3 linked regions of the Elephas maximus indicus genome follow. The protein of the gene in region 1 purifies or fractionates together with the protein of each later gene. This does not show direct contact. Links are inferred from orthologs where the notes say so. Each region holds a gene or a part of one and is shown in the gene's direction. Other genes may lie near its edges.

The links.
Region 2: the proteins of DNMBP (region 1) and BIN3 purify together in Homo sapiens (co-immunoprecipitation; 5 studies listed by BioGRID and IntAct, counting the BioPlex papers as one, with this or other methods). This does not show direct contact. The link is inferred for Elephas maximus indicus from reciprocal best matches to the Homo sapiens genes DNMBP and BIN3.
Region 3: the proteins of DNMBP (region 1) and DNM2 purify together in Homo sapiens (co-immunoprecipitation; 3 studies listed by BioGRID and IntAct, with this or other methods). This does not show direct contact. The link is inferred for Elephas maximus indicus from reciprocal best matches to the Homo sapiens genes DNMBP and DNM2.

What each region holds. Positions count from the first base shown.
Region 1 is NC_064834.1:51,653,430-51,661,070, reverse strand, and holds the start of DNMBP (dynamin-binding protein), read left to right. Parts: upstream 1-4,600; 5' UTR 4,601-4,820; intron 4,821-7,641. UniProt on the Homo sapiens protein: Plays a critical role as a guanine nucleotide exchange factor (GEF) for CDC42 in several intracellular processes associated with the actin and microtubule cytoskeleton.
Region 2 is NC_064840.1:51,994,899-52,002,742, forward strand, and holds the start of BIN3 (bridging integrator 3), read left to right. Parts: upstream 1-4,838; 5' UTR 4,839-4,926; coding exon 4,927-4,934; intron 4,935-7,844. UniProt on the Homo sapiens protein: Involved in cytokinesis and septation where it has a role in the localization of F-actin.
Region 3 is NC_064821.1:28,766,133-28,773,321, forward strand, and holds the start of DNM2 (dynamin-2), read left to right. Parts: upstream 1-4,097; 5' UTR 4,098-4,257; coding exon 4,258-4,418; intron 4,419-7,189. Other genes in the region: QTRT1 (queuine tRNA-ribosyltransferase catalytic subunit 1), read left to right, coding at 321-459, 660-735, 837-946, 1,028-1,115, 1,197-1,349. UniProt on the Homo sapiens protein: Catalyzes the hydrolysis of GTP and utilizes this energy to mediate vesicle scission at plasma membrane during endocytosis and filament remodeling at many actin structures during organization of the actin cytoskeleton.

The sequences.
Region 1 (7,641 bases):
AACGACTCAACAGCATCCAGTGACAACAATATAACTTTTTACAGTACTGTATAAAGTGATGGAGATCAGCGCTGTCAGAAGCCAAAGAATCAAAATCTGTGTTATCATTCAGCTCTCTGCATTGCTTGCCTAAATGTAGATGTGACTTAGTGTGGTATGAAGTCAGATGACTCATTTCTGTAATGCACAGTACACTTATATCAAACTGTCCTCTGGGGGTGGGGGTCATGAACTTGGCCACAAGTTTAACAAGAGACAGCATTGTGGCCCAGCTGCTTATACAAGTAATGCACTCCAAAGCTGTGTAGGGAGGCCCAACATCACATCGAAAGAAGCACAGTCCCGCCAGGCCCCACAGGAGTCCAGCTTCCTCAGGAGTGTGGCATACAGTTCTTGGCACATTTTCAGGAGGGACCTTGAAGGTCACAGCATCCCTATGCTTCTTGAATGCTGCAAGACAAAATAGTGTTAGAGGAAGGCAAACATGACCTATTCTGAGCAAAGCTGCGAAACTAGGTGAGTGGGGAGCCTGCATTGCACAGTGGAAAGAGCATAGACTTTGAAACCTCATAGATGGGGGTTTGGATCTTGGCTTTATGCTTTACAGGCTCTGTTATCATGGACAAATCAAGTTTTTCCAAAATACAGGTCCAGAATCACAATGGTACTCAAGCTGTCCCTCAAGACAATTCAGGTGTACAGGAGCCAATTTGGGGCGATGCAGTGACTGGACAATAAATCACTTAGTGAAAAAGTTATTCTCTCATCAGCTTCTTTAGATCCTTCTAAACAGATCAAGGGGAAAGTTTGCATTTGGTCCTAACTTTCTAACACTGGCTGCCTTAGGCTGGGTTCTCTAGGGGAGCAAAACCAGTGAAATGAATAAAGAAATATATAGAGAGATTTATTTCAAGGAAATGGCTCGCACAGTTGTGGAGGCTGGCAAGTCCCAAATCTGTGGGTTAGGCAACAGGCTGCAGAATTCTCCTGACTCACATGTTTGCAGGGGCTGATGAATGTAAAACTTATAGGTCAGGCGGCAGGCTGCTTGCTCACAGGGCTGCAGCAAACTAGAGAATCCAAAATCTGCAGGTCAGGCAGTAGGCTGAAGGGATCTCACATCCTAAGAACCAGAGATCCAGAAAGAGCGTGAGCTTTGTCAGAGCATCCATCTGTACTGGATGCAGGCCATACCCCCAAGGAAACTAAACTCCCGTTCCAACAGTTTGGCTGCTCACATCAGATCACAAAATGGAGGATGATTACATAATGTCTGCCAAACCACCGAGAATCATGGCCTACCCAAGCTGATACATAACATTAACCATCATGCTGGCAAATTTCATTCTTTAACAAATAGAGTAGGCCTCGGTCTCAGAACTGAAATTTAATAATACAGTTTTGTTTCTGTTGTATTTATTTTAAAAGTTACCTCCTATGGTGGTGCAGCGGTTAAAGTGCTCGACTGCCAAACAAAAGGTCAGCGGCTTGAACCAATCAGCCACTCCACAGGAGAAAGATGTAGCAGTCTGCTTTCCTAAAGAGTTACAGCCTTGGAAACTCTATGGCGCAGTTCTACTCTGTCCTTTAGGATTGCTATGAATCAGAATCAACTTGATGGCAATGGCTTTGGCTTTTGGTTTTTATGAATTGCAATCTATCCTGGGTTTTCGTTTATGGGTGTGATACAAAATTTCCTTTTAAAAACAACCAACCAGTTGGTATTTAGCCTGTTCCAATTTACGGCGATCCCACATGTTTCAGAATATAACTGCACTCCACAGGGTTTTTCAATGGCTGCAGACTTTTTGGAAGTAGAATGCCTGGCTTTCCTTCCAAGGTAACTCTGAGTGGATTCCAACCACCAACCTTTCCACTAGTAGGCTAGTGCTTAAATGTTTGTACCACCCAGGCAGCCCCTTAAAAACAAAACGAGTCAATTTAAATAAAAACCTTAAACAAAAAATTAAAAAAGTGGTATGACGTTTAGTCAAGAAGCATTATGATGGTTATCTGAGAGTACAAGACTATGGCAAAAACCATAAAAGTGGTACAAGAAGGACTAAAGTATGGGAAACAACAGGAATTGGCCTTACTCTTGCCAGCCAGGGTCTGTTCCTAACAGGAACTAAATGGCCTCCAGCGTCTTCTTCCAGAAGTCACCTGTGCCCTAGCCCAAGTCCACCAGACAGACACCCTCCCTCCAAACTCTCCTGAACACCCCCTCCCCCCGCCATATACCCATCTGGGTCCACCTTTAATCCTCTCCTTCCTGAACCTCTGTCCTGAGACTCCTAGGTACGTTTTGGCACTATTTTAACCAACAGCAAATAGTATTTCCATGCTGTACCCCTTCCTTCTTAGGATGCCTTCTATATTCTACCGCTAAATTGTTGGACCATGTCTTCTTCAGTAATAGAAGCAAGGATGCATTACTTTATCTGCGCTTCTTCCAGAGCCAAGCCTGTGGCTATTTCAGGATTGACAGTTTGTACCATGAGCAAGCCTAACTTTGATTCGTTTTAGCAGCTTGCTACTCTCTCTCACCAGCTTGCCATTGCTAACAGCAGCTTGTGGCTGTGGCATGGAACATTCCAGAGGGGAGCTATGGGGAGTTTACTTTGATTTGGAGCCTAAACATGCCAGGCTGTTAGTGATGCAGTCCGTTGTGACAATGATGGAAACTTTTAGAGGCAGGGTGTCTTGACAGATTGGATTTAGGTTAAGACATGAGATTGAAGGATGACACACTCAAATGGTTGTAATTAACGAGATCAATCTCCATGCACAGAGGTTGATCTGTGTTTTGGTTAGTTAAGGATTATGGGGGGTGGGATTCTTTTTAGTCTTAATATTACACATGTGTGTAGATTACTAATAACGCAGTTCCAGACATATTTATCTCTTGATCATTTTCATTTCCGTCCTTTTGATTGAGGATATTTTATAGTGTATCAATTCACTGACTCAGCATGGAATTCATTCTCCTTATCAGGCCTCACCAGGCCCTGAACAGTCTTGACCTCTGTCTGTTTTCCAATCTCATCTCATAGCACTTGCTCTCTTGCTCACTGTATCAGTCTCCTAGGGGGGCTGTAACAAATTGCCACAAGCTGAGTGGCTAAAAATAACAGAAATTTATTTTCCCACAGTTTTAGAGGGCCTAAAGTCCAACTTCAGGGTGTCAGCTGGGCCATGCTCTCTCCGAAGGCTCTGGGAGAACACTTTTCATCTCTTTCAGCATCTGGTAGCCACAGGTGTTCCTTGGCTTGTGGCAGAATAACTCCAGCCTCTGCTTCTGTCTTATCATGGCCATCTTCCCTCTGCGTGTCAGTCTCTTCTTTTTATAAGGACACCAATCATATTGAATTAGGGCCCACCCTATTCCAGAATGACCTCGTGTTAACTAATTGCTGTGTGTAACTTTCACCTAAAATACTATAATTTTTTTTTTTAAAAGATTCAGATTCAGTAAGTAGATCATTTTGAAGCTGACTCAGGTGATAGAAAGAAAAAGTTCAGATTAATTTTAATCTATGTTAAGGAATCCTGAAATTTTTCTTTTTAACATGAATTTTTTTTTTTTTACATCTACATCGGTTTTTAGCTCATCTTGCTTTCCTATATGGCATGCTTGATTCTTCATCCAAAAAACACTAGCAAAGCGCAACCACAGCAAACAAAATTGTAGTTAACTAGTAGTAACTGTATCTTCAAAAGTAAAGGCATTAGATTTGCAATACTAATAATTTACTCTTGAGGGGAGACCAGGCACTGTTTCAGAGGCAAATGAATCATTTGCTAAGAATTTTGTCAAAAACCCAGGACTTTGGTATTCTGCCAACAGTGTTCACAGGCATCAGGAAGCAGAGGAAAAGAAGGGAAAAAGGATGTATTCCGATGGAATTTTTGAAATAAGATTTATCTCTGTTATGCACGCATAGCGATAGATTTACTTCATTCTTCATAATCTCGTAGGTGAAGTACAGAAATTCAAGCGACATAGCTAAGCAGCGTGACCTTTAATACACAAAGAGAATATTGCAGGGATTCAAGAGTGACTTAGAAGTGTTCTCTAAGCCCCGCCTAGTTCTTGCCTTCTGTCATTCTTTGCTTTTAAATTCTCAAAGATGTCCTGAGAGACTTTGCTCAAAAGAAACGGGACAAACAGAAACAAATGAGTTGTTGTATGACATGATAAAGGAAATTGCCTCGGGGTAGCAAGGAGGACACCACCACAAACAGACAGAAATAGAGCTGAACTTCTCTAGATTGAATTCTGACTTTTTTCTGAGTTGGAGGGCGGTGTGGGAGACGAGAGCAGTATAGGGACTTGGTATGAACCAGGGCAGCACGTAGGCAGAGGGCGCCCGGCAGGCAGCGGGCGCCAAGGCTGCACTAGCCCGGCCCGCTTGGCACGGCTGGGAGCCGCGGAGATGCACCGGGGGCGGGCCCCAGGCGGGGCTCTCCGCGGCAGCTCCGCACCCAATGCCTCAGTTTCCCCCAGTGGAGGTCCTCGGAGCACCGCCCCTCTGACGTCCCGAGGCGGGCGGGGCCGGGGAGTCGGCCGCCAGGGGGCGCGAGAGCCGGGCGGGCGTCGGGGAGGTCGGCGAGCAGGGAGCCGAGCGAGCGTCCCGGGACCGCGCGGTCCGCGCCGGCCGAGGCGGAAGCCTGAGCGGGAGGCTGGAGGCGGGGCGGCTGCGCTGAGTCAGACCGGATTGACCCGCCCGCGGCTTCCAGGGGCCGCGGTGACAGCGGGCCAGGGACTGGCGGCCGTGGCTGCCAACCGCGCCGAGGGACCGGCGGGCTGCGGAGAGCAGGTCAGGAGCAGGGCCAGGGCTGGGCGGGGAGCCCGGAGCTGCTGTGCGGGGGCCGCGGGCCGAGGGCTCCCGCGCTCCGGCGGACGCGCCGCGCGACCGGGCCTGCACCGGCCTCTTCCCCAAGGCAGCCGCTGCGCTCGGCCGGGAGTGCCCGGGAGTCCCTTCTCGGATTAACCACTCTCGTCCCGGATCAGGTCGAGACCCTGGGAGGCCCCCTAGCTGGAGAGGCTGGGTGGCCCCAGTCAGAGGGATGCGAGCATGGACTTTTTTGGTGTCAAGCCCAGGGCTCTTTTCACTGCACCACCCTGCCATTCAGGCAGTGAGGCGAATTTGAGAATTTGAGAGCTGAAATTCAGCATTAGCCCAACCTTCTTATTTTACAGATGAAGAAATTCATCTTCCCTGCCCAAAGTCACACATCCAGTCGGTATAGGAGTCCGTGAGTCAGGGCCAGGGAGGCAGGGATGGATGGTTTCCGAAGCAAGAGGGAGACCTGTTTGGTTGGAGATGCAGGTTTGGTTAGGGTGGATTTTTAGTTACTCACAAACTCCTTTATTCCGGTAGCAGGTACTGATGTCCACCAGGCATCAATTTCTCAAAGCATTTCTCTTGAAAGGAGTGACGGTTCTGTCATTCTCACTGATGATGAATAAAGGATGATTTGAATAAAGGCATATTGGGGTTACAAATTGGCCAGATATGCCACAAATTAGGAGATATGGAGAATGCTTGGTGTTTAAAGCTCAGCTTTAAATTCAATTGCATTATCCCTTATTGCCTGTCTCATTTATAGAATAATGAAGGCAGTCCTGTCCTGTAATATTGGTAACTTACCTTTAACCACTAACCTGTTGCTGTTGAGCTGACTCATCTTTTACTGAAGCAAATCACCAGACGTTTCTTCTGCAGCACCACAGGGAGGGTTTGAACTGCCAGCCTTTAGGTTAGTAGTCAAGCTCTTAACCGTGTGTACCACTCAGGGTCTTGACTGGTCTTGGTTTTGGTTGTGTGCCCTCGAGTCAATTCTGACTCCCAGCTACTTTATAGGACAGAGTAGAACAGCCCCGAGGGTGTCCGAGGCTGTAATCTTTTCAGAAACAAATTACCATTATCTTTCTCCTGCAGGCATCTTTTGTTGAAATATTTTCTTTTTGTAATTAGTAATGCTGTAGTATCTGGCAAGCCACCAGATTGCTGGTAACACTAATATTTAGAGTTCGAGCATAGTTTAGCTCCTGTCATTTACATAGATGAGTTACAGGGGGAAAGTAGGATTGTTTAATCTGTAGTAGTATTTTGTAAGATTGAAGTACCCAACAGCTTGTTGTTGTTAGGTGCCGTTGCGTTGATTTCCACTCATAGTGACCCCGTGTGACAGAGTAGAACTGCCCCATAGGGTTTTCTAGGCTGTGATATTTACGGGAGAAGATTGACAGGTCTTTTGTCTCACAGAGCAGCTGGCTGGGTTTGAACCGTCAACCTTTCAGTTAGCAGCTGTGTTCTTAACCATTGCACCACCAGTCAGTGATTTCTCAGAGCTAGTGCTGCATTTATTACTCTCCCGGCATGAATAGATTCAAGGTGGGGAGCGGAGAGCAGGTTAGTTTATCCTGCAGGACCTATTTTTTCCTAAAATATTGAGTGGAAAGATCTCTAGGGCCTCCTTCCATCTCTGAAGTTCCCTGATTTTACACGTTAACTTGAAACACGTGTCACTAATTGTGACCAAAAAAAAAAGGGTTCACAGATGCGAGACTGGAATGGCGTGCTTTGTGCTCCGTGGAGAATAGCCAAAGTCTGACCTGGGAATGGGGTCTGTGCAGTGCAACAGATACCTTTTGCAATAAGCCAAGAACATTCTGACTCAGAAAATGTGGTAAGATGTCTATTATACAAGTGTTCATACTGTGTGTATTTTCGGCTGAGATAATAACCTTTAGAGATACTTCGTCCAAATAAGTACAAGTTATTTATTTTGTCGTGCAGCCCAAAGTAGAGCCTGTCCCTCCTCTTGTTTCCATCAGTCTCCTGTCTTTTCAGGTTCCCTTCTTCTCTGGGTGCCTTGCTTATCTTCGGAGACCCTCCTCACATCCCTCTTCTCATCCAGCACTGATTGAACTTATGCTACTTTTTCTCTTCTCAAATCGTGATTGAACTTGATCAGTCATGATTCTTGAATCACCATGTAAGATCTCCTAAAAACTTAGGGTGGATATTCGTTTTTAGGGCACAGTGTAAGACTTGGAGTGGCTCTGGTTCTGGAAAAGCGTTAAGTGGACCAGGCTTAGATTTTTATCTTCTGACTGCCTGGAGACTGTAACATAGGAAGTCTCCAGAGCCACTAAAGTCGTTTACCTCTACTTCCGTTGGAAACCCTTTCTTTCAGCATGATGTATACCAAATCTTCAAATTCATTTTAATTCTCAACGTCCCAGTCCTTTTTCACCATTTGGCTAAAATAAGCAAAAATTGATTTTTCAAATTGTAGATACTTCTGTGTGATATTTGCTTTGGGGAATTTATTTAAATGATAAAAACACTTAAAATAGATCACAAGTGGAGACTTGCATACTTATTGCCAGGGATAAGGCTTGAATATTTTCAAGGTTCGTTCTTGTGTTGATTCTAAAGTCAGTTAATGCATGGTATTATTACCGAATTATCTGCTGTGAAATTCGCAAGTATGGGTGGCTTTCTGCTAAGGCATCCTTAACATTTATTCAGCGTACTTCTAAAAAGTTTCTCAGCACCATTTCGGTTTAGTATTAAATAGTTCCTTCTTATACCCAGCTCAGGAAAACACCTGAATAAACTAATTCTC
Region 2 (7,844 bases), on another chromosome or scaffold:
ACCTTCTGAACTCCCCTACTTCTCCTAAGCACGCCTTCCACCCCACCCTGGAAGGTCAGAACAAATCACGGGGGGTCATATATGTCTTCTACTCTAATTCAGTGGCCTAGCTATTTCCCAAGCAGCCCCTGAAACACTTGTGGTCCATTTGAAGGAGGAGAGTTCCTACAAAGAAGGTCCTCAGTGGCCCAGCAGTTACTTGCACAGGCCTTACTGCCTGCTCTTCTCACTTCTAAGGCAGAAAGGTACTTGGAGTGGGGAGGTCAACACAGTCCATGACCCCAGACGACTTGTGAGAGCCCAAGGCTCTGAATTCTGACTTTGAAAAACCTATTGCAAGTCAGCTGCTTGCGTGGACCTCGGTCCTCTTCTTAGCCAAGATTACATTCCCTCTGCGTGGACCCCAACTCCCACCCCTCATGAGATTCACCTGGTTAGCCTCAGGACTTGCTTAATACATTGACTCCTCCTGGAAGCAGTCACTAAAACACCATGTGCAGGTTGTTGTTCTTGGCTGCCATTGAATTGAGTCAGCTCTTGACTCATGGTGACTCCATGCACAATGAAACCAGGGCTTTGAAATGGTTTGTTCTGGATCGAACCCCTGCTGAAAATCTGTATTTCCACCCCAGATAGTGAATCAGAATCTACATTTTAACAAGATCCCCCAGGTGATTGTTAGGTATAATAAATTTGGGGAACAACTGCTGTACTAGCGGTTCTCAGAATTTGTCCCTAATCAGCAGCATTAGCATCAGCTAGTAACTTGTTAGAAATGCACATTATTGACAGGGGTTCAAACTGGAACAAACTGGTTCAAAGTCCTGAATGAAAGAAAAGGCTGCCCAGTCCTTTGCCATCCCCATGATTGATTGCAGATAGGACCATTGTGATCTGTAGGGCTTTCATTAGCTGAATTTCAGATATAGATCACCAGGCTTTTATTCCTAGTCACTTGTAGTCTGGAAGCTCTGCTGAAACCTGTTCAACATCATAGCAACCCGTAAGTCCCCACTAATAGGTGGTGGCTGTGGATAAGGAGCATTGGAGGGACCCTTACGCAGGTGCCATAGCACCCTGTTCTTTCCTACCATACATTATTACTGTAATTGCCCGTTTACCTCTCCCTGCAGGTAAGTAGCACTGTAAGGGCATGAGGTCAGGAACCTTGTTTTTTTTTTAATGGTTGTATCCTGGAAGGAAAATTGGAAGTTGCCCAAAATGAAATGGAATACTTGAAGATAGATATCCTAGGCATTACCCACTGCCGTTGAGTCGATTTCAACTCATAGCGACCCTACAGGACAGTGTAGAACTGCCCCATAGAGTTTCAAAGGAGCGCCTGGTGGATTCGAACTACTGACTTCTTGGTTAGCAGCCGTAGCACTTAACCACTACGCCACCAGGGTTTCCATCCTAGGCATTAGTGAGCTCAAATGGACAGCTACGGGCCATTTTGAATCAGACAATCATATGGTTTACTGTGCTGGGAATGACAAATTGAAAAAGAATGGAATTGCATTGATTGTCAAAAAGAACATTTCAAGACCTATCCTGAAGTACAACGCTCTCAGTGATAATATACATACGCCTACAAAGACGAGTTAATACAACTATTATTCAAATTTACATACCAACCACTAACGCCAAAAATGAGGAAATTGAAGATTTTACCAACTTCTGCAGTTTGAAATTAAGCAAACGTGCGATCAAGATGCATGGATAAGATAATTACAAGTGATTGGAATGTAAAAGTTGGAAACAAAGAATAAGGTTCAGTAGTAGGAAAACATGGCCTTGGCAATAGAAACACCACCAGAGATGCCATGATAGCACTTTGCAAGACCAATGACCTATTCATTGGAAATACCCTTTTTCAGCAAGATAATTGGTGACGGAAGGAATACACAGGAATCAAACTGACCACATCTGTGGAAAGAGACCGATGGAGAAGCTCAATATCATCAGAACAAGGCCAGGGGCCAACTGCGGAAGAGACCATCAACTGCACATATGCAAGTTTAAGTTGAAGCTGAAGAAAATTAAAATAAGTCCATGCAAGCCAAAGTAGGACCTTGTGTATATTCCACCTGAATTTGGAAACCATCTCAAGAATAGATTTGACACATTGAACGCTGAACACCAGACGAGTTGCGGGACAACATCAATGACGTTATATATGAAGAAAGCAAATGGTCATTAAAAGGACAGGAAAGAAAGAAAAGACCGAAATGGATGTCAGAAGAGATTCTGAAACTTGCTCTTGAACATAGAGTAGCTAAAGTGAATGGAAGAAATGATAAAGTAAAAGAGCTGAATGGAACATTTCAAAGGGTGATGGTTCAAGAAGACAAAGTAAAGTATTATAATGAAATGTGCAAAGACCTGCAGTTAGAAAAACAAAAGGTAAGAACACACTCGGTATTTCTCAAGCTGAAAAACTGAAGAAAACTCAAGTCTTGAATTGCAATATTGAAGGATTTTATGGGCAAAATATTGAACGATAGAGGTAGCATCAAAAGAAGATGAAAGGAATACACAGGGTCACTGCACCAAAAAGAATTGGTTCAACCATTTCAGAAGGTAGCATATGATCAAGAACTGATGATATTGAAGGAAGAAGTCCAACCTGCACTAAAGACACTGGCGAAAAACAAGGTCCCAGGAATTGACAGAATACCAACTGAGATGTTTCAACAAATGAATGCAATACTGGAAGTGCTCATCTGTCTATGCCAAGTAATTTGGAAGACGGCTACCTGGCCAACCGACTGGAAGAGATCCATATTTGTGCCCATTCCAGAGAAAGGTGATACAACAGAATGCAGAAACTATTGAACAGTATCATTAATATCACACGCAAGTAAAATTTTTCTGAAAATCTTTCAGAAGCGCTTGCAGCAGTGCATTGACAGGGAACTGCCAGAATTCAAGGAAATTCAGAAGAGGATGCGGAATGAGGAATTTCATTGCTGATGTCAGGTGTATCTTGGCTGAAAGCAGAGAATACCAGAAAGATGTCTACCTGTGTTTTATTGACTATGCAAAGGCATTCGGCTTTGTGGATCATAACAAATTATGGATAACATTGGGAAGTACGGGAATTCTAGAACACTTAATTGTGCTCATGAGGAACCTGTACATAGATCAAGAGGCAGTCATTTGAACAAAACAAGGGGCTACCGCATGGTTTAAAATCAGAAAGGTGTGTGTCAAAGTTGTACCCTTTCACCATACTAATCTGAAGGCTGAGCAAATCATCTGAGAAGCTGGACTATATGAAGACGAATGGGGCATCAGGATTGGAGGAAGACATATTAACAGCCTGTGATATGCAGACAACACAACCTTGCTTGCTGAAAGTGAAGAGGACTTGAAGCACTTACTGATGAAGATCAAAGACTACAGCCTTCAGTATGGATTACACCTCAACATAAGAAGACAAAAATCCCCACAACTGGACCAATAAACAACATCATGATAAATGGAGAAAATACTGAAGTTCTAAAGGATTTCATTTTACTTGGATCCACAATCAATGCCCATGAAAGCAGCAGTCAAGAAATCAAAGGACATAATTGCGTTCGGCAAATCTGCTGCAAAAGACCTCTTTAGCATTCAAAAGGAGAGATGTCACTTTGAGGACTAAGGTGCACCAGACCCAAGCCATGGTATTTTCAATTGTCTCATATGCATGTGAAAGCTGGACAATGAATAAAGAAGACCAAAAAAGAATTGATGCATTGGAATTGTGGTGTTGGTGAAGAATATTGAATATACCATGGACTGCCAGAATAATGAACAAATCTGTCTTGGAAGAAGTACAGCCAGAATGCTCCTTATAAAGGAGGATGCTGAGACTTCACCTCAATTACTTTGGCCATGTTATCAGGCGGGACCCCTGGAGAAGAACATCATGCTTGGTAAAATGCAAGGTCAGGGAAAAAGAGGAAGACCCTCAATAAGATGGGTCGACACACTGGCTATAACAATGGGAACAAACATAGCAATGACTGTGGGGATGGTGTAGGACCGGGCAGTGTTTCCTTCTGTCGTACTTACGGTCACTGAGTTGGAACAGTCTTGACAGCACCTAACAACAACAGCAATCCTTGAAGGTTAGCACAGTGCCTGATACATTGTAGAAGCTCAATATTTGTTAAAGGAATGAGTAGAAAGAATGGAACCATTCACATCATTCTGTAGTGAGGAGCACAGAAGGAATGACTGGAAGACTAGGAGCAGCCTCTTCCTTTTCATACCCCTTTGTTGAATCGACTGCACCTTTTTGTTGAGTAAATTCACAGAACATTCCTCCTTCCCCGAAAAGCACCTATGCTATTTATATTCAGCTCTACCTGCTCAGAACCCTGTGACCTCCTGAGGGAGGGAAAAGATCCTTTTGTTTGTTTGTTTTAAACAGGTAATGCATGTACATGTTACAAAATTTATAAGATTCAAAAGAGTATATCAGTGAATGTAAGTCTCGCTCACACCCTTTACCCATTACTGGTGCTCCTTCCCTTATGGACAATTACTGTTAAGAGCCTTTTGAGTAGAAATCACTTTAAAGATAGAAAAACTGAGGTAATTACCAGGTTGAGCGGCACGTGTGGACAGAGAAAAAGATTCTACAACTCAGTGTTTAAGGCAGAAAATGGGCCCAGATGTCTTCATCCCTCTCCCACAGGAGCGTCTCTAACCCCTAGGCCAAAGTATGAAGGTCACCCGCAAAAGAAATACCTCGGGAAGCAAACGGTTAACGCGCCGGGCCCCGCCCCTTTAGGGCCGCTTCCGGGCAGAGGGGGCAAGTTAACGTCACTTCCTGGAGACTGGCTGAATCCGGAAGTGATCCCAGAGAACTGAGTTGCGGCTGAGGACCCCGGTGGCCGGCGCTTCGGCCTTCGCAGGGCCAGCTTCGGGACCATGAGCTGGTGAGTGAGGTCCAGGAGGCAAGGGGGTGCTGGAGCCCCAGACTCGCGATGCGCCTTGTCCCAGCGTCAGTTGAGTCCCATTGCCCGCCGGCGTCTGCTCTTCTTGCACGGACCCTCCGCCCTAGACCAAGGCCCGACTGGCCCCGGCTCTAGGGTAGTTAGTCGTTCAAGGGGCCTTCCTCCGGGTGCTCACCCGAAGCCTCCATATCCTGGAATCCCGCATCAGACTTCTGTTTCCTGACTCCTCCTGTTCCAAGAAGCTGGCCCCGTCTTCTTCCAGCTCCTTGGAGTAAGGGACTTCCGTGGTCCCTCCTCTCTTAAGTATCCTTTGGGGTAGAGTAAATGTCTTTTCCTTCTCCCCTTTGCTTATCTCTCCGCCACTCCCATCAGCCTCAGAGCTGTGGCAATAGGGCCGTCAGAGACCCGTTCACTGACCAAAACCCATGCCCTTTCAGATTATCAGCCTTTCCACCACTTAACAGCCTTCACAAGACAGAGAAAACTTGCTTCTCTTTTGGGAGGAGCCAGGATTACCGTTCCCGCCCACCCCCCCTCCCCCGTGAGATTGAACTATTTTGAATCATTTCTGGGACCATTACCTACCTCTCTCCCTCCAAAATAGACATAGTTAAGCTTAAACATTATGGGAGCTATCATGTCTGGAGCAAAGAAGCAAGGGAGTCTCAGCGTAGTAGTCACAACTCTAGAGCTGACAGCTACGTTGTTGCAGAACTATTTCATACTTAGCACATAATAGACACTTGATAATGTCTAATGGTTAGTTTATTTTATGACTCAAGTTGTCCAAAAGGTAATTCCTATATGTTGCTCTGAATTATTACTGTTCAAAGGAGGTACAACCATGGCTTGCCTGCTCTCTGGGGCTTCCTTGGGCCAGCCATGCGAAGAACCTTGCCTCAGGCCCAAGCACTGACATAGCATAGCCACAGCACCAGATCTCAGGGAATCTAACTACAATATGCTTGTATGAATACATTGATCCCCAGAGATGTACGAGATGAATCAACCCTTTTAGAATCTTAGTTCCATTAATGTAGGAACCATGTTTGCCTCTTTGTCCTCAGAGGCTAGCCTGATTCTTTACACAAAGTAAATATACAATAGTTACTTGAGAATGAGTGAAGATAGTAGAATATTCTGGAGGAAGGCTTTTGCAGGCTAACATTTGGTGATCAGTGGAGAATAAGCTCTGGCCACAACCAGCTGATGTGTCAGTCAGTGTCAAGGCCAGCTCTCTAAAGTAAAATTTAAACTATTGCTGCTCCCCTCCCTTGCTTCTCAGACTAAGATTGATAGACAAATGTCAGACAGTCAGTGCCAGCACGTGGAGGGAAGCCTGGAGCCATGTCCTAATAAGCCCCGGGAGGAGCTGCTCCTTTCCCTCCACATTTTGCTCTAGGAGGCTGATGGGGGCTGGAGCCTTAAAAAGCTAACTTTCCCATCTTGTTACAACCTAGTTAGTGATGGACAAATTGGCAGTTCTTCAGTTCCATCTCCTAGAGGAATTGCTTCTTTAAAGTGTCAGTCTGGTTCTCCAACCTTACAGTGTAGATATACTCTTGCCTGCTACATCTTGAATCCCTGCAGTTCTCTTGCCTGATTTTTGCAAAGTAAAAAAGCAGAAAGTACAGATACGTTCTAGTGCTTAGATTGCCATTTACAGTTTTTAAAAATCAGCACAAATTGGGAGAAGATGGAGCAGAGACCACTAAAGGTAAATGGTTCTCTGGGTGATCTGAGGCAAGTTTTCACCTGCGTTGCAGAAAGTTTCTTTTCTGAAAAACTATTAGCCCATTTCCTAAAGTCTAACAGGGTGGAGACAGTTGAAATTGACTACTGACTGTACAGCAGGAACTGAGATTTTCATCCAGTAGAACTAATTTACCAGTACACTGCACATCTTGGCATCTTCTTGGACTGAGGGTCACAACCAAAAGGGTGGCTTTGTCCCCTCAAAGCTGAGATTCCTTTCTCTTCCTCCTAAGAGGGCTTCTACGTCATCTGTTGCGTGGACCCTGACCCTCTCTCCCTGACAGAGGAACAGCACCGGCGCCTTGGCACACAATTGCACTCAGTTCCTGGCTCAATGGCTGGCAAAGGGACCAGAGCTGGGTCCTTCTGATTCACTCCCAGAGTGGTTTTCCTGCTCCCAGAATGAATCCATCCATTCATTTAAGATTGGAATTCTCAGTGGGGGAAGAGACCAGAGTGACGTAGAGCCATCATGGGAGGCTGATGCCCAAGGTCAGGTTCACCAAGCACATGGGATATGCCAGCTATCACTGAATATAGCCCATAGTTCCCAGAGGGTAACCATTGTTCTGGGCTATGCTGGGCTTTCAAAATGTCACACTGAGAAATGTCCAATATTGATGCCCTTTGCACACTGTGGACTTTGCATGAAGAGTGAGAGGTCTTTGTTCTTTGCTTCCTCTGTGCGGGCAGCCCACCCACCCCCTGTTTATTTAGTGGATGCGTGCTGCCCTCCTGCTCTATCTACCTATCCAGACATCTACTATCCTTCCATTTTTGTTCAGCAAGGTAGCTCAGTGGTCAGCCCTACTGAGAAGAAGGCATTTGATAGTCACATTTTAGATCATTGATTCACTTCTTGACCCTAATCCAAGTGTTTCTCTCTCTGTGTGTGTTGTGTGTATGTGTCCTTATCATACTATGGAATTAAATAGAATTAAGAAGAGTGACCTTAATCTGGTTTAGCTGTCTCCAAGTATTGTAGCCTTCCCTAGAACCACACACCTGATGATTTCAGGCTTAAACAACAACAACAACAACAAAAAGCCAAACCCATTGTGATTGAGTCGATTCTGACTCGTGGCAACCCCATGTATTACAGAGTGGAACCGCTCCATGTGGTTCTCTTGGCTGCAG
Region 3 (7,189 bases), on another chromosome or scaffold:
CATGGTACAGCATTTCATGACTGGCTGTTACCCAGCATATAGGATGCTCACTGTTCTAAAATCTAGAAACTTCTGAAACAAATCTGGCTCTAAAGGTCTTAGGTAAGCAAGTGTGGGCCCATGTCCCACTCCTGAGGATTGAAGGAGAGGGTCTTACGTGCAGCAGGCGTTCGATAAATGGTAGCTAAGGTCCCCAGCAGCCCCCCATCCATATACATACACACGCTCACGCACTTTCTCTCCCTTCCTGAGGGTCTGCTTAGGGATGGGAAGTAATTTTCCCTTGCCTGGCCACCCCTCATCCTGCCCTGTGCCCCCAGAGATGACCAAGAGGGACGTGCCAGGCTTTGCCATCGGGGGCCTGAGCGGGGGCGAGAGCAAGGGCCAGTTCTGGAGGATGGTGGCGCTGAGCACCTCGCGACTGCCTAAGGACAAGCCCAGATACCTGATGGGGGTTGGGTATGTAGGGGAGAGGGGAGACAGGGCCCCACATGTGGGAGTGGGGGTTGGGGAGAGGGAGGATTAAGCAGGATCCAGCCCTCCCCTCGGGTGGTTCTGAGGGACTATGGCCTAGGCCCAGGAAACCTGAGGGTGGGGAGGAAGCCCAGGCCAAGGGTTTGAGGTTCACTGCTCCCCTCCCCCCATGGCCTCACCCCCAGCTATGCCACCGATCTGGTGGTCTGCGTGGCTCTCGGATGTGACATGTTCGACTGTGTCTTCCCCACACGGACGGCGGTGAGGCCCTGGGCAGGGGCAGGCAAGGGCGGAGCTGGGGGTGGGGGCGGGGAGGGTGAAGACTTGGGTGACCCTCCTCCCCTGCCTCTCTCCTCCCCTAGCGCTTTGGCTCTGCCCTGGTGCCCACTGGGAATCTGCAGCTAAAGAAGAAGCAGTATGAGAAGGATTTTGGTCCCATCAACCCTGAGTGCACCTGCCCCACCTGCCAGAAGTAGGCGAGGCCTAGGGGTTGAGGGAAGGTGGGGGGAGCGGCAGGACCCAGCATTGCTGACCCCGACCCCCTGGACCACAGGCACAGCCGGGCCTTCCTGCATGCACTGCTCCACAGTGACAACACCGCCGCCCTGCACCACCTCACTGTCCACAACATTGCCTACCAGGTGGGCCTGTGGCTGGGTGGGTGAGGGAATAGGCAGGGTTTTGGGCCTCCCTTGGCTCACGATGTCGCCCCCTCCCTGCAGCTGCAGCTGATGAGTGCTGTGCGAGCCAGCATCGTGGAGAAGCGCTTCCCCGACTTCGTGCGTAACTTCATGGACACTATGTACGGGGACCCCACCCTCTACCCCACCTGGGCCACCGAAGCCCTGGCCTCTGTGGGAATCACACTGGGCTGAGCTGGCCAGGGGGCTTCCGGCATTGGGGGAAGAGGGAGGGACTGGAAGATATTGAAGGTTTGGTTTTTTCATTCTAACATCATGACTCTGTGTCTTCTTGGGGAGGAATCCAGTCTTGGTCTCCTTCCTGGTCTGAGCTTCACTGTGACAGACATTCTCCCCTCACACTGATAACAAGTAACCACAGCAGCTCCTGGTATCTGGAAAGCACCTGGCACAGCCCAGTGTGTAGGATGTACCCAAGATGGAAGCTGTGGCCCAGGCCCCTCAGCCACCCTGGTGGTGGGTACTCTTGTTCTTCCCTTTTTCACAGGTGAGAAAACTGAGGCCCAGAAAGGAAAAGGAGCTCGCTCAGGATCACCCACTGAGGGAGTGGCAGACTCAGGATTTGAACTCAGGCAGTTCACGCTCTCAGCCTCCCCTCTGTTACCTCCATGACTGCATACCCTCCGTTAAGTCACCCCTGCCTCATAGCGACCCCATGTGACAGAGTAAAGCTGCTCCGTAGGATTTTCTTGTCTTTAATCTTTATGGAAACAGATTGCTAGGCCTTTCTTCCACAGCACTGCTGGGTAGGTTCAAACCACCAACCTTTAGGTTAGTGAAAAACAAAACCAGATTCGTTGCTGTGGTTGATTATGACTCATAGTGACCCTACAGGACAGGGTAGAACTGGCCCATAGGGTTTCCAAGACTGCAAATCTTTACGGAAGCCGACTGCCACATCTCCCTCAGAGCAGCTGGTGGGTTCAAAGCGCTGATCTTTAGGGACCTGACTGCATACACTTGACTTAATCTCGCTCTCAGTCAACAGTGATGGTAATAGGTGTGGCCTAGTTGGAGCTTACACTGTGTTTGGCACTGTTTTTGATGCTAGTCATGTGTATTTAATTCTTGCAACTTTATGACGCACGTAGAGTTGTATTCCTCATTTTACAGAAGAGGAAACTGAGGATCAGAGCAATGAAGTCATTATCACTCAGCAAATAAACAGGCCCAGGATTCTAACCTAGATATGACCAATTACAAAGCCAGCGTTCTTAGAAAATAAGGTTTGTTATTGAAAAAATAATACATGTGTATGATCAACAATTCAAATAGCACAAAAAGTGCAACAGTTTTTATTGGTTTGTGTATTCCTCCAGAAATTTTCCATGTACACCTATTTTCTCATAAATGTTAGTGTCCTTTACATACATTTCTGTATTGCTTTTTTTTTTTTTCTTCGTAGTATATCTGAGAAATTGGTTTACACCTAAGTACATGGAGAGCTTCCTCATTCTCCTTTATGGCAGCTGCGGCCCTATTGCACTTATTTAACCAGCCCTTCTGGAAGGACAGCTAGGGTGTTTCCAGGTTGCTGTGATCCTGGTCAAGGTTGGCTAACCTTGTTGGTGGCCTTTTTGCCGTCTTTCTGAGCGCTGGGATTTTGGTTCATGCTCTGCCATCTTCCACAGTGGTTCTCCATTTCCCTGGTTACTGCTGCCTCTCCCCCTTCAATGCTCCTGCCTCCTCACTTGGTTCCCTATTCTCTGGCCCATCTGTGCCCAGAGGGATCGAATAACTTATTAAAATCCGTCCACCTATCTCCGGCATCTGTTCCAAGAGGTCAAGAATACTAGTTCCCACACTCCAACTCTGCCTGCAGAATAGCGTGTCTTCGTGGGGAGTGGACCCGGTTGTGTTTCATTGGGTTTCTAAACGACCCATGATGCACTAAAGTTGAAGAGGCAGGGAACAACGTTGAAGAGGTAGCTGCATCAACGCGGGGCGTCAGCGGAAGATACTCCTAGGGGAGGGCACAGTTATTTGCAAAGGCATGGAGCTTGACATTATAGGAATGGACCGTCTCTCGCTAGGGAGCACCAACATCGCCCGGCTCCAACTTCTCTTCAAAGTGCGTAGCGAACCGCGACGAGAGCGGGTTTGCCTGCCGGCAGCCGAGATGCATTCTGGGACTTGTAGTTTTTCCTGTTGTTAGGGGCCGTGGATTCAGTTATGACTCGTAGTCACCTTATGTATAACAGAAACACTACCCTGCCCTGCGCCATCCTCACAATCGTTGCTATGTTCGAACCCATTGTTGCAGCCAATGTGTCAGTCCATCTCGTGGAAGGCCTTTTTCTCTAGAGCTCTGAAACTCAGAAGAGTGACGGGTCGTACCACTAGGTGTCGCCCTTTGGCGAGCGCTACCCTGTACTCCAGAAGTCTCCCAACAGGCGGCCAACAATCACAAGTTAAGAACGAGTTACTTTGATTGACAGATACAGTTCTCAATCAGAATCAGAATTCAGATGTAAAGCCTGCCCTCTTCTGATCTGTTGGCTGGAGGAACGGAGTGATATTTATATAAGCCAATGGGAAATTTTTAGGGAAAACCAGTGTCTAAGGATCGAGCCCTAACATCATTGGTGGCTTTCCGGACTGGCGGGTTTTTCTACCAATAAAGTGGCAGAATGCCTCTTCAAGGGGCGGGACCAACATACCTTTTCCTGAAACACCGCCTCCCGGCCTTGACAACTTGGCTCCGGCCGCTATTGGTTCTTGCATAACAACGACAGTTCTTCCTTCCAATGAGTCCACGAGAAGCTCCCTAGGGGAAGGCTTATTCAGCCGTAAACTCGTGCCTCGCTTCCATTGGCTCGAGTACCCGAGTGGCAGCCAGGTTGACCAATCAAGAGCGGCGCGATGGTTTTAAGCCCAGCCCGGGGGCCCCGGCGGGAGGTCGCTCAGGTCGGGTGTTGCCTGAGAACCGGATGAGGCGGCGACAGTGAGGCCGAGCCGGGAGCCGAGCGGAGCGCCGAGGCCCAGGCGGGCGGGGAGCAACGGCCGCGGACGCCGCGGGGCGCGTCGTTGAGTCGGGGGCGGGCGGGGAGCGCGGGGCGCTCGGGCCGGGGCGGCCGGCGCCATGGGCAACCGCGGGATGGAAGAGCTGATCCCACTGGTCAACAAGCTGCAGGACGCCTTCAGCTCCATCGGCCAGAGCTGCCACCTGGACCTGCCGCAGATCGCCGTAGTGGGCGGCCAGAGCGCTGGCAAGAGCTCGGTGCTCGAGAACTTCGTGGGCCGGTGAGCGAGCGCCGCGGGAACGGCGGGCGGGCGGTGGCCTAGGGCGCGGAGGGCGGCCCGGGAATGGCGCGCCTTGCGCCGCCGGCGTAACTGCGGCGCTTGCGTGCCGGCGACGGGGACAGGGACTGGGAGGCGGGCCCTGTGGGGCGCTCTGGGTAGAGGGCTCCCTACAGGCAATGGGGAGCCGGCCCAGGCCCCAGGGGCGTTCCTACAGTCTGGGGGGCGTGGAGCAGGAGGCGCCATTGACCCCTGCGGTGTGTCACGTTCCCAGCCTTCGCGGGTAAACTCTGCCATCTGGTTGCCTTTGGGTTGGGGTAGGTCCCCCTCTACTCCGTCTGTCTGTCCGTTTACCAGGGGCGAACGCGCCACCTCGGTAACTATTGGGGTGATCCCTGCAGTCGGCTGGCCATTTATCAGGGGCAGCTCGTTCTGGCTGGCTGTGTCTGGCCTGGAGAGACCTCCCTACCACCATTTGGCTGTCCATCTGTCCAGTCCCACGGGCAGCCCCCTGCTGATTGGCTAGCTGTTCAGGATGACCTCTGCTGTCTGGCTGCCTATCCGTTCCCCTCACAGACGTTAGCACTTACCCGTCCCTCTGTCGAGTTACCCTAGCTGGTCTCCTCCATCTAACTGGCTGTCTGGACCCAAGGAGGACCCTGTTGTTTTGCTCTCCTGGGATGACACTTCATTTGGGTCCCTGGTGGACCCTGGCTTCTCTCTTCCAAACAGATCCTTCTGTCTGTCTGTACTGGTGGATCCAATGTCTGTCCATCTCCTAGTCTACCATGACAGTCCCAGCAGCTCCTAGCTTTTCATCTGTCTGGCCTAACCCTTCTGGCAGGGGGTGGGGAAAAGGAGTAGGGGAGAAGAGAGCGAAAGGATGAGGCTTGAATCTGTTCAACTCTCTGTTGGAAGTACGACCTGGGGAACTTTCCCCGGAATTCTTTCCTGGGCCATGTTAGGATGCTCTGGGGCCCTGGATCATGGGCCAGCCCCCAAGTTAAAGCCTGCAAATTGGGGAGCACTCCTTGGAGCCTGGGAAGGGGCTTTTTGCCTCATCAGCCCTCAGTGATAAGAGCTGAGATACAGTCTTTTCTGGACCGTTCTGGAGAGGCCTGTTTGCCCATCCGTGCAGTGTGCAAATTCCACTCTCTGGGCTGTTTCCAGTGTTCAGGAAACTAATGAATGAGACCAGGCCCTACAACCACTGAGGACTGTTGATTCTTCTCTCTCCCTCCCACATCTCTTGTCCTTCCACCTTCCTGGTCACTTCGCTATTCCCGGAAGGGACTCCATTTGTGGCTGTGTGGCTGCCAATGGTAACATCATCGTCCTTGTTATTGTTAATCAGTGTGAAGGGGTAGCGTTCACTGAGCAGGCCCCAGCTGAGTTCTTTCCTTGTTCCGTGTGTTGCATTCCACAATGAGCATGGGGTGATTTCGTTACCATCCTAACCTTAGAAATGAGCAGGGAGGTTCAGAAAGGACTCACCGCTTGCCCAAGGCCACTGGGCTGGTATGCAACAGAGCCTGGCTGGACACCCAGACCTGCTGTTGCCTTCCCAGAGGCCTGGGGTTGTGATCCCAGCGCATGAATTTCCTTCTGTGCTGCTGTGTCCCTGGTGGGTTGGCCTCTGTCCAGTGTAGCGGAAAGGTGTGGGCTTGGGCAGAGGTGGATCTAAGGTATGGTAGGCATGGCATATGCCCTGGGTACCACTCCACTTGAAGGGGAAGCGCCAATGACCAAAAAAACCAACCCGTTGCCCTTGAGTCGATTCTGACTCATAGGGACCCTGTAGGACAGAGTAGAACTGCCCTATAGAGTTTCCAAGGAGTGCCTGGTGGATTCGAACTGCTGACCTGTTGGTTAGCAGCTGTAGCTCTTAATCACTATGCCACCAGGGTTTCCATTAACCTGGCATGACACAATGTCCTGCCTCAGTGTCCTGCCTCAAGCACCATAGACACAGAGGCAGGTGGGTATGTGTGTGTGGTGGGAGTGGGGGTATACCTGCTCTAGGCACAAGCCCGGGGGGAACCAGATGAGGTAGGAAATGATCTTCCCAGGTGCTACAAATATGAAAGGCAAGTGACTGAGGCAGCTGGACAAGACCTGTTGCCGCTATCATCATCCGTTCATTTTGAAATTGTCGGGGCTGGGGGCAGTGCAATTTAGAGATTGCCCGTGGGCACTCAAATGGGGGGCAGGGCGCAATTTAGAGATTGTACAATCTCAGTGCTTGCCTTAGGTGCTGTTTTCTGTCAATATGCCTCTGAACTTGGGCTCAACCAGGCTGGGCTGTGAGCCCCTCTGGCCGTCTTCCTGCCTTTCCAGCCTCTGGTGGGCCTCTGTGAAGCTCTCTCTGTTTCATTTGCTTTGTGACCTTGTGCAGATTGTTTGACCTCTCTGGGCCTCGGTTTCCCCTCCTAAAAATGGGGCCCTGGACCCTCAACAAGGCTGTTGCAAGGATGCAGTGACATGGTGTGTTGGAAGTGCTTACTTAGCGCAGTGCCTGACCGGGCTGCTCTTCACTGGGCTGGTTCCTCTCAGAACAACAGCAAAAGCTAATAAGAGTTAAGTGCCTTCGAGTTCCATGCTGAATTTCATTTAAGCCCCATGAGGCTAATACTGTTATGATCTCCGTTTTACAGGGCAGGAAACTGAGGCTCAAAGAGCTGAGTCCTCTTGCTTGAAGCTGTTCATTAAGGAATTGAGGGCTCTGGGTTGGCAGCGCTGAATTTCTCTTCCCTCCCCACCTCTCCTGCCCCACT